2 linked regions of the Drosophila melanogaster genome follow. The protein of the gene in region 2 interacts with the protein of the main gene of each other region in a biochemical or structural test. Each region holds a gene or a part of one and is shown on either strand. Other genes may lie near its edges.

Evidence for each region.
Region 1: of the proteins of mbt (region 2) and DCTN2-p50, one has a biochemical effect on the other in vitro, tested with the Drosophila melanogaster proteins (one study listed by BioGRID).

Annotation. Positions count from the first base shown.
Region 1 is NT_033778.4:8,890,263-8,894,144, reverse strand, and holds DCTN2-p50 (dynactin 2, p50 subunit), read right to left. Parts: upstream 2,314-3,882; 5' UTR 2,192-2,313; coding exon 2,156-2,191; intron 2,072-2,155; coding exon 1,150-2,071; intron 1,084-1,149; coding exon 899-1,083; 3' UTR 806-898; downstream 1-805. Other genes in the region: Sec31 (secretory 31), read right to left, coding at 4-200; CG8272 (uncharacterized protein), read left to right, coding at 2,845-2,895, 3,027-3,882. UniProt on the Drosophila melanogaster protein: Modulates cytoplasmic dynein binding to an organelle, and plays a role in prometaphase chromosome alignment and spindle organization during mitosis. May play a role in synapse formation during brain development.
Region 2 is NC_004354.4:16,608,990-16,612,913, forward strand, and holds the start of mbt (mushroom bodies tiny), read left to right. Parts: upstream 1-1,695; 5' UTR 1,696-2,202; coding exon 2,203-3,373; intron 3,374-3,444; coding exon 3,445-3,716; intron 3,717-3,787; exon of another isoform or gene 3,788-3,924. Other genes in the region: Nup153 (nucleoporin 153kD), read left to right, coding at 16-109. UniProt on the Drosophila melanogaster protein: Involved in neurogenesis of the adult central nervous system, and together with Cdc42, regulates photoreceptor cell morphogenesis. Phosphorylates exogenous substrates when activated by Cdc42.

The sequences.
Region 1 (3,882 bases), on a different chromosome or scaffold from region 2:
CACTTGTACTGGCTGGAAACGCTGGCCCTCAGCTCCAGATCGTATGTGGCATCGCTGAAGTTCGGTGAGTACAACTCCAGAGTGGAATTGGCATTGGAATCGAATTGTTGGGCGGCGGTGCCGGCGGCCAAGAGAATCTGCTGCTGCTGCGCCGGCGACCAGGCGATGTTCACCGTCTTTTGCAGTTCCTTGATCTTCATCTTGCAATGTCCCTTCGTGCTGCTCGTGTAAATAAAGCGAAAAAACACAAATATTATGGGAGGTACAAGTTCAGAACGAAATTGTGTCACGTCCAATTGGAGTAAGCCCCGTCATCACTTTTCCCATTGGCTTCCCCATTGCAGATGTGGCCCAGTAGTGCCCGCCGGCCTTTAAGTATCTTTAATTATGCTAATTGCGCAACTTACACACAATTGTGAATGCAATTTGTACTCGCTTGCGCTGCAACGAGACTTTTTGATCTTGAATTTAACTGGAATCGTTAATATTTTTAAGAACCGTAGGAACGGCCAGTGTGACCGTGCTCTGAGCCAACGTAATATACCACAGGGCACGCACTGAAATACCAAATGCGTGCGACCAGAATATACTGCGAGTTTAACGGTATGCAATTTAAATATTCCGTTTCAATGTGCAATTTTAAAAATAGTTTTTATCAGTATACATTATTAAAAATGATAGTCGAAATTATTTAAAGATTTATTTTCCATCGCATTTTATATTCGTAAACTAGCTTCAGCACTTTTAATATTAATATTTATTATGAACTCATTTTAAATTCCAGATCACTTTGCATTTATTTTTTGACTGGAACTGGACTCGAATGTAGATCTCTTTATTATAGGTATCTTTCATAAATATAAGCTATGTTTATTTAATACGCATGGTATGCATCCACTCATTTGGCAGACGATATGGCCGCCACACGCTGCTCCACCTTGGCCACCTTGCTGTTGATAGTCTCCAGATTCTGGGCGAAAGTCTCCTGTACGGAATGCAGCAGCTCCTTGTTGTTCACCAAGCTAGTGGTGATGGTTCCCTGCTTCTGCTCAATCTCTGCGATGATCTTGGCGAAATTGTTTGCTGCAGAGCAAGTTGATTAGTTACAGAAACAAGCACAATGCTAAAATGCTAAATAGAATTGCTTACCATATTTATGGAGGGCCTCGAGGGCTTGCATGCGTTCGATGACGTGCGGCAGTATTTCCACCACTGGCTCCGTGCGCTTCGCGATGTCGTATAGTTCCGTAATCTTCTGATCTCGTTTGGCGTCCTGGGCACTGCCGCTGGACTTTTCGGCGATAGCATCCATCTTGCCGGCCAGCGAGGTCAGGCGCTGCTCGATGGTGTCCAGTTTATCAGGCTGTATCAGGGCCGCCTTGGTGCTTAGATGACGCACTGCCTCTAGTACATTGGTGGTGTTGGTGGCGGCGGTAAGGCGGCTCAACTTGTCCGGCTGAGCGCCCAGCACCTTCTCCAGCTGCGAGATTCGCTGCTCTAGACTGGCTACGCGGGCCGTGGCCGCCAGATCGGTGCCAGGCGTGGGTATGGCTGTGAGAACGCCGGACTGCTTGAACTCCTCCACCTGGCTAATGAGTGCTTTCACCTGCTTACTTCCAGGCGTCTGCTCCTTGCCCAGCACTTGCTCCAGCTTCAGCGACTCCAGCACCTTTCGGGCCGTGCTGATAACCGTGGCCACCGCATCGTACGACTGCTTCTCCTCGTCGGCTACCTTGCGGTCCACCTGCAAGGCGGCCACCTCGTTCAGAAGCTCGTTCATCTCGATCTGCAGGCGCTGGCACTTCTGCACCGGCGTCTCCTTCTCGCCCTGGCCAACCAGCTCGTAGTCGCTGGAGCCGCGCGTATCGTAACCCCGGCACATGCGTCGTCCAATGCGATCCGTGAAGTCCACACTCCCCTCGACCGTTGCTCCGCTGAAGCGCTTGTGAGCGACGCTCGGCGAGATGTGCAGTCGCTCGATGGCTTCGTTCTCCGGCTCCTCTTCGTAGTAGTCGGATGTATCGAGCTCCGGGTCATCTGGAGTTTCGTACACGTCCGGCTGGTCATAAGCCTAAAAACATAAAGTACATATATGTATAAATGGGCAAAAACGAAAGCTTAAACGTCACTGCCATGGTGCGGAGTTCCGACTTACTATTCCCGGTAGGTTCTGGAACTTGGGATCGGCCATTATTGTGGGCACGTCGACGGCGGTGTTTGGAATCCTTTGGCAACGAAATAATTATAAACCTTCAAAAATCCTTTTTTACAACAATCAATTCGATCTGATGTCATAAAAAAAGTTACCGTGCGCGGTTACCAAACAAATGCCAAAGTGCAGTTGTCATTGGAGTATTTATAAACAGAGGTATCTAAAAAGTCATTTAAAAAAGACAGTTATTACTTGTAACGGCTAATAAGCTAAGAGTAAATAGTATTGCAAAATATATCATCGATATAAATAAATTGTACTTGCACATTGTACTTTGTTAACTGGATTCATAGATGCAAACATTTATAAAAATAAATTAAAGCTTTTTGTGCTAATTTAAACCTATTTTGATTTTAGGAAAAACGATATACATTTAAAATCATTCATAAGCAATAGGTAAATAATTCCATGATCGACTTCCAATTGGTAAATCAATGAAGGTACACTTTTCTTCTGGTATTTTATAGACCAGTGAGGATAGAAAAAAGGCACGGTCCTACTGTACCTAGCACAGGTACTAAGTTAGTCAACACTGTAGTTTTCGTGTAGTTTGCGGGCGAAGCGAGTGGGCGGTGGGAGCTGCTAGTTGGTTGTACTAATCTTAATATTTTGCATCCGAAAACAATAGAGTAATGTCTGGCTTAGAGTACGGGTTGCATAGATACGATGATCTGCCGCTGGAGGTGAGCATATAATGTGAACGGACTGCCGCGGTCCCGTGACCAATCCATCATTTCGAGCGTATCTATATCTGCATATTCATATACCTGTTAGGGCAGTCAGCTGATTTTGTTTTTTTCTGTTCCGCCCCCAGATTGTTTTGAAGATTTTCAGCTATCTCGGCTACTCGGACTTACAAGCGGCAGGATCCACCTGCCAGCGATGGCATGCGGCGCTGGATCAGGCGGAATTTAACCAGCGCACGCGAGTCTGCTTCTCCAAGGTGGTGCTATCGGATCAATTGAGTCCTGGAGTGGATCTGATGCGCTGCGAGCGGCGTTTCCAGCACTTCCTGTTCGAGGACGTGACACTGGGACAAGTAAAGGAATTGATGCGCTTCATGGGCAGGACCGCTCAGTCCCTGGCTCTGGACAATGTGGATTTGAATGACAAACAGTTCTACGGCATGCTGGGCGTGCTGCCCCATCTCCACTCGCTGTCGCTGAAGCGCTGTCTGCCGCTGTTCATGTCCGGCTCTTTCCTGGACTCTTACAACAACTCCTGTCCTGACCTAAACGACCTGGCAAGCAATCTGGCCGGCATCAAGGAGCTGACGCTGTGCGAGAACCAATACCTCACGGATGCCATTCTTATGCGTCTCACATCGTTCATGCCCAGTCTGGAAGCGATTAACATGTCCGGCTGTCACATAGCCTTTCACAATGCTATTCATCGCAGATTTTACCCTGCCACCAGCTCCTCGGATCACGTTTTGCCCAGCGAGTCTGTGCTCACGTTCAAGTTCATCCTCACCATTCTGAACCTGCAGCGACGTACGTTGCGCGTGTTGAACTTTAGCCACACCCTAATTGGCCAGGCTTTGTTGGCCCTTTGCGACCTCAATCTCCAACTGCAGCGCCTCTATTTGGCCGGATGCAGACAGCTTAACTGCACCACAATCCTGAACTTTCTAGCCACACAGCCCCAGTTGTGTGCCCTCGATTTGTCGG
Region 2 (3,924 bases):
ATTGTTAATCCGCAGCTTCAATCCGCCAGCTGCGGGCAACTCGGCGCAGAGTTCCCAGACGGCTCGCCGCAAAATCCGCGCCCCCGTACGCCGTTTGCCGCCCCGGTAGAAATGGCATCGCAGTCGGCCATCACGATAGCAAATGAGGCCGCCGTCGGATTAGGATTAAGATATTGGCAGCCATTGCCGAGAGTAACAGAATCAGCAGTAGCAGCAAAAGCATCAAGGGCCGAAAAGGAAAAGCAAGACACAGAAGACGCCGGCAACAATAGTGGGCTCAAAGGTTCGGTCCAGAGCCAATATCACCAGGAGCCAGATATTCAAGGATCATCGAGGATAAACATGCAGTCACCAAAGTCGCCATGTGTGAACAAATACCGCTTCGTACGCCGCCACAGCCTGAACTCTGAAACCAGGAAACCCTTTAGCAGGAATATTTGGCAGAATACAACAGGAGAAGGCAATGAAACCAATGGCGACGATGTCCCTAAAACACCAACAACTGGCGACCAGGAGGACAACCAACAGGAGGAACGAGATTCAGCGGTATATACATCAACAGAACGAACTGTACTAGTAAGGACCCAATTCAAGATAGTGCGGCAAAGGAGCGTCATCTCGAAACCGAGACAGAAGCCTCCGACTTACTCTTAAAAAGCTAAGGAATAGGTTCGTTCCACATCCTTCTCTGCTCTCCGATGATTGGGAGATGACCACGCGAATGTCGCTCATACTACGCATATTGATGATTACAAATTATAAAAACACTTCGTTGGATTTACGCGAGAATTCATCGCACCAAAAAAAAAACGAAAATGAATATATTTTAACGTTATTTTTGTTGAATATATAATATACCTTAACGATAATTATGTAATAATTATTTTGCGAAATAGTAAAGAAACGTGTAATGCTGCAATCAAACAGAGATGCGAGGCCATGTAATAGCGCAAAAAATCAACTACTGTATAATGTAGTAATACGTATATTCGAGTTATTGGCCGATACGTCGAGCATATGATGATTGCAGTCAGATAAGAGCGATCGGCAAACGATTGCATTAAGTCTTTAGTTTTTGTTATTAATTTTAGCGTTTAGATTCACACACACACAATTCACACGAGGAAAATACCTGCAACGACGTTCTGTGCAGCAGCCAAGGTGGAAAGCCAACAAATTAAAGAAAAACAACTATCTAGCAACGTAAAGAAACCAACCAACCCTATAGCTAACAAGATAACAGATTAGATGAAAAGATTAGAGAGAATGGTGGCAAACTGGAAAACCGAAAGAGTTATAATTGTATGCATGTTTTTTATATACATAAATTCATAAAGAACATTTAATATTTTATTTTAAGTTTATATTGATCATTTTTAAGTCGAGAACAGAAATGGAAATCAGAAGTCTATGTTGAGAGAGAAACGGTATCATAATGTAAATAAGTAAATATATGCGGTATGATAATTTAAACATTGTGCTCTTTACTTGGGTTTTCAACTGGAATTGCAATGAAATTCTATAACGAATATTTGGTGTCTTAAAGTACATATCTTACTTTGAATGGTAATTGTTTTCAGCGCGAATACTTTACAAACATTTGAATTTCGAAAAGCCAGTTGACCACAGGCGAACTCACCATGCCACGGCAACGGTCACACTGCCGCCATTGCGATAGACATCGATAGCCGTTCCAGCACTAATACTCACGATAAACACCACCTCTATTTCTGGCATCGGCAATTATTTCCCTAGGTTTATTATTTTTTTGTTAAGCGAATTGCTTGTGCGCTCGTGCTGTCGCCATAATGTGTGCAATGTGTGCCAGCCAGAGGAGCAAGTGGTGAAGGTGTATCGCTTGTGCGCATCTCGATTTGTCCATCCATATCCAATTGAATCCCAGTTTCCCAGTCGCGTCCGCTGCTATGCGTGTGTGTGTGCGTGCGTGCCCGTGTCCCTGCATGTGTGTGTGTGAGTGAGATCGGGAAGAAGTTGTGTGCTGTTGTTGTTGTTGTTTCTGTCGGATTTGCCGTTGCCATCGTTTGTTGTTTGTGCATTTTCCATTGTCGGGCGACGCAACAAAAAGAAAAAAATTACACATTAAAAATAGAGAGCAAGAGCGAGAGGGAAGGAGTGGTGTGGAGTGGAAAAGGGCGGTAAAAGGGCAGAAATTTGGAGCACGGGAAATCCGAGTCGCTGAAGATGTTCTCGAAGAAGAAAAAGAAACCGCTGATCTCGATGCCCAGCAATTTTGAGCATCGTGTGCACACGGGCTTCGACAAGCGGGAGAACAAATATGTTGGCCTGCCCCTCCAATGGGCGTCCATTGTGGGCAACAATCAGATACTCAAGTCCTCCAACCGCCCGCTGCCACTGGTCGATCCCTCGGAGATTACGCCCACCGAGATTCTCGATCTGAAGACTATTGTGCGTCCGCATCACAACAACAACAAGGCGGACACCACCTCGCTCAACAGCAGCAGCACAATGATGATGGGCTCAATGGCGCCGATGAATCCCATGGCACCTGGCGCACACCCAATGATGAGCCATGGCCCCGGAATGATGATGCCACCCGAGACGGGCGGCATAGTCCTGCCGAAGACCTCTCACGTGGCCAGATCCAATTCGCTGCGGAGTTCCAGTCCGCCGCGAGTGCGACGGGTAGCCAATGTGCCGCCATCGGTGCCGGAGGAGGAGGGACCACCGGCAGCTGGAACACCGGGAGTAGGTGGAGCTAGTAGCGGTGGCTTTAAGCCACCCGGTGCCCATCCCTCCCTGCTCTATAACAGTCAGCATGCGCACGCGAATGGAGCAACAGGACCACTGGCCGTGCGCACGGATCAAACCAACCTGCAGCAGTATCGCAGCAATCTGGCCCCGCCATCCGGCGGCTCCATGCCCCAGCAACAGCAGACTTCGCCCGTGGGTTCGGTGGCCAGTGGCACGCGATCCAATCACTCGCACACGAACAATGGCAACAGCGGCGGCAGCTATCCTCCCATGTATCCCACAAGCCATCAGCAGCAGCAGCAGCAGCAACAGCAGGCCAAACAGGGTGGCGATCAGAACCAAAATCCTCTGCATCCGCATGCTCATCCGCATCCGCACCATCACCAACATTTGGCCAAGTCGGCGTCCAGGGCATCCAGTTCCAGCGGGGGAGCGAGCAGTGCTGCCCAGCAGGCGAGCGGCGCCAGTGGAGGAGCGGCGGGTCAGCCAAAGCAGGACCAACGACTCACCCACGAACAGTTCCGTGCCGCCCTTCAGATGGTGGTCTCCGCCGGTGATCCACGCGAGAACCTCGACCACTTTAACAAAATAGGCGAGGGCTCCACGGGCACCGTATGCATTGCCACGGACAAATCCACAGGCAAGAACATCCGCTTTAACTATTGTCAAAACCATTGAATTAATGGCATTTGGTTTTCTCATTACGTACAGGTCGCCAGGTGGCCGTGAAGAAGATGGATCTGCGCAAACAGCAGCGACGGGAGCTGCTATTCAACGAGGTCGTCATCATGCGGGACTACCATCATCCCAATATCGTGGAGACATACTCCAGCTTTCTGGTCAACGATGAGCTTTGGGTGGTGATGGAGTACCTCGAGGGCGGCGCCCTCACCGATATTGTCACCCATTCGCGCATGGACGAGGAGCAGATAGCCACCGTCTGCAAGCAATGCTTGAAGGCTTTGGCCTATTTGCACTCACAGGTGCGTGACCAGCATGACACTGCCCCTTTCCTGTCCCCGTTCCCATTACCATTCCCTTGGCCAAACTGGGCAGCAGAGAACGGAGTACTCGCCATCATGCGATTCTTTGTGCCTTTGTACCTTGCCATTTGCGGCGCTTTCTTCGCCCTCCGCTTTCGCGTGGCTTTGGTTTCAATTTCTAAATGTTGTCACCAACAAAAGTCGTCGG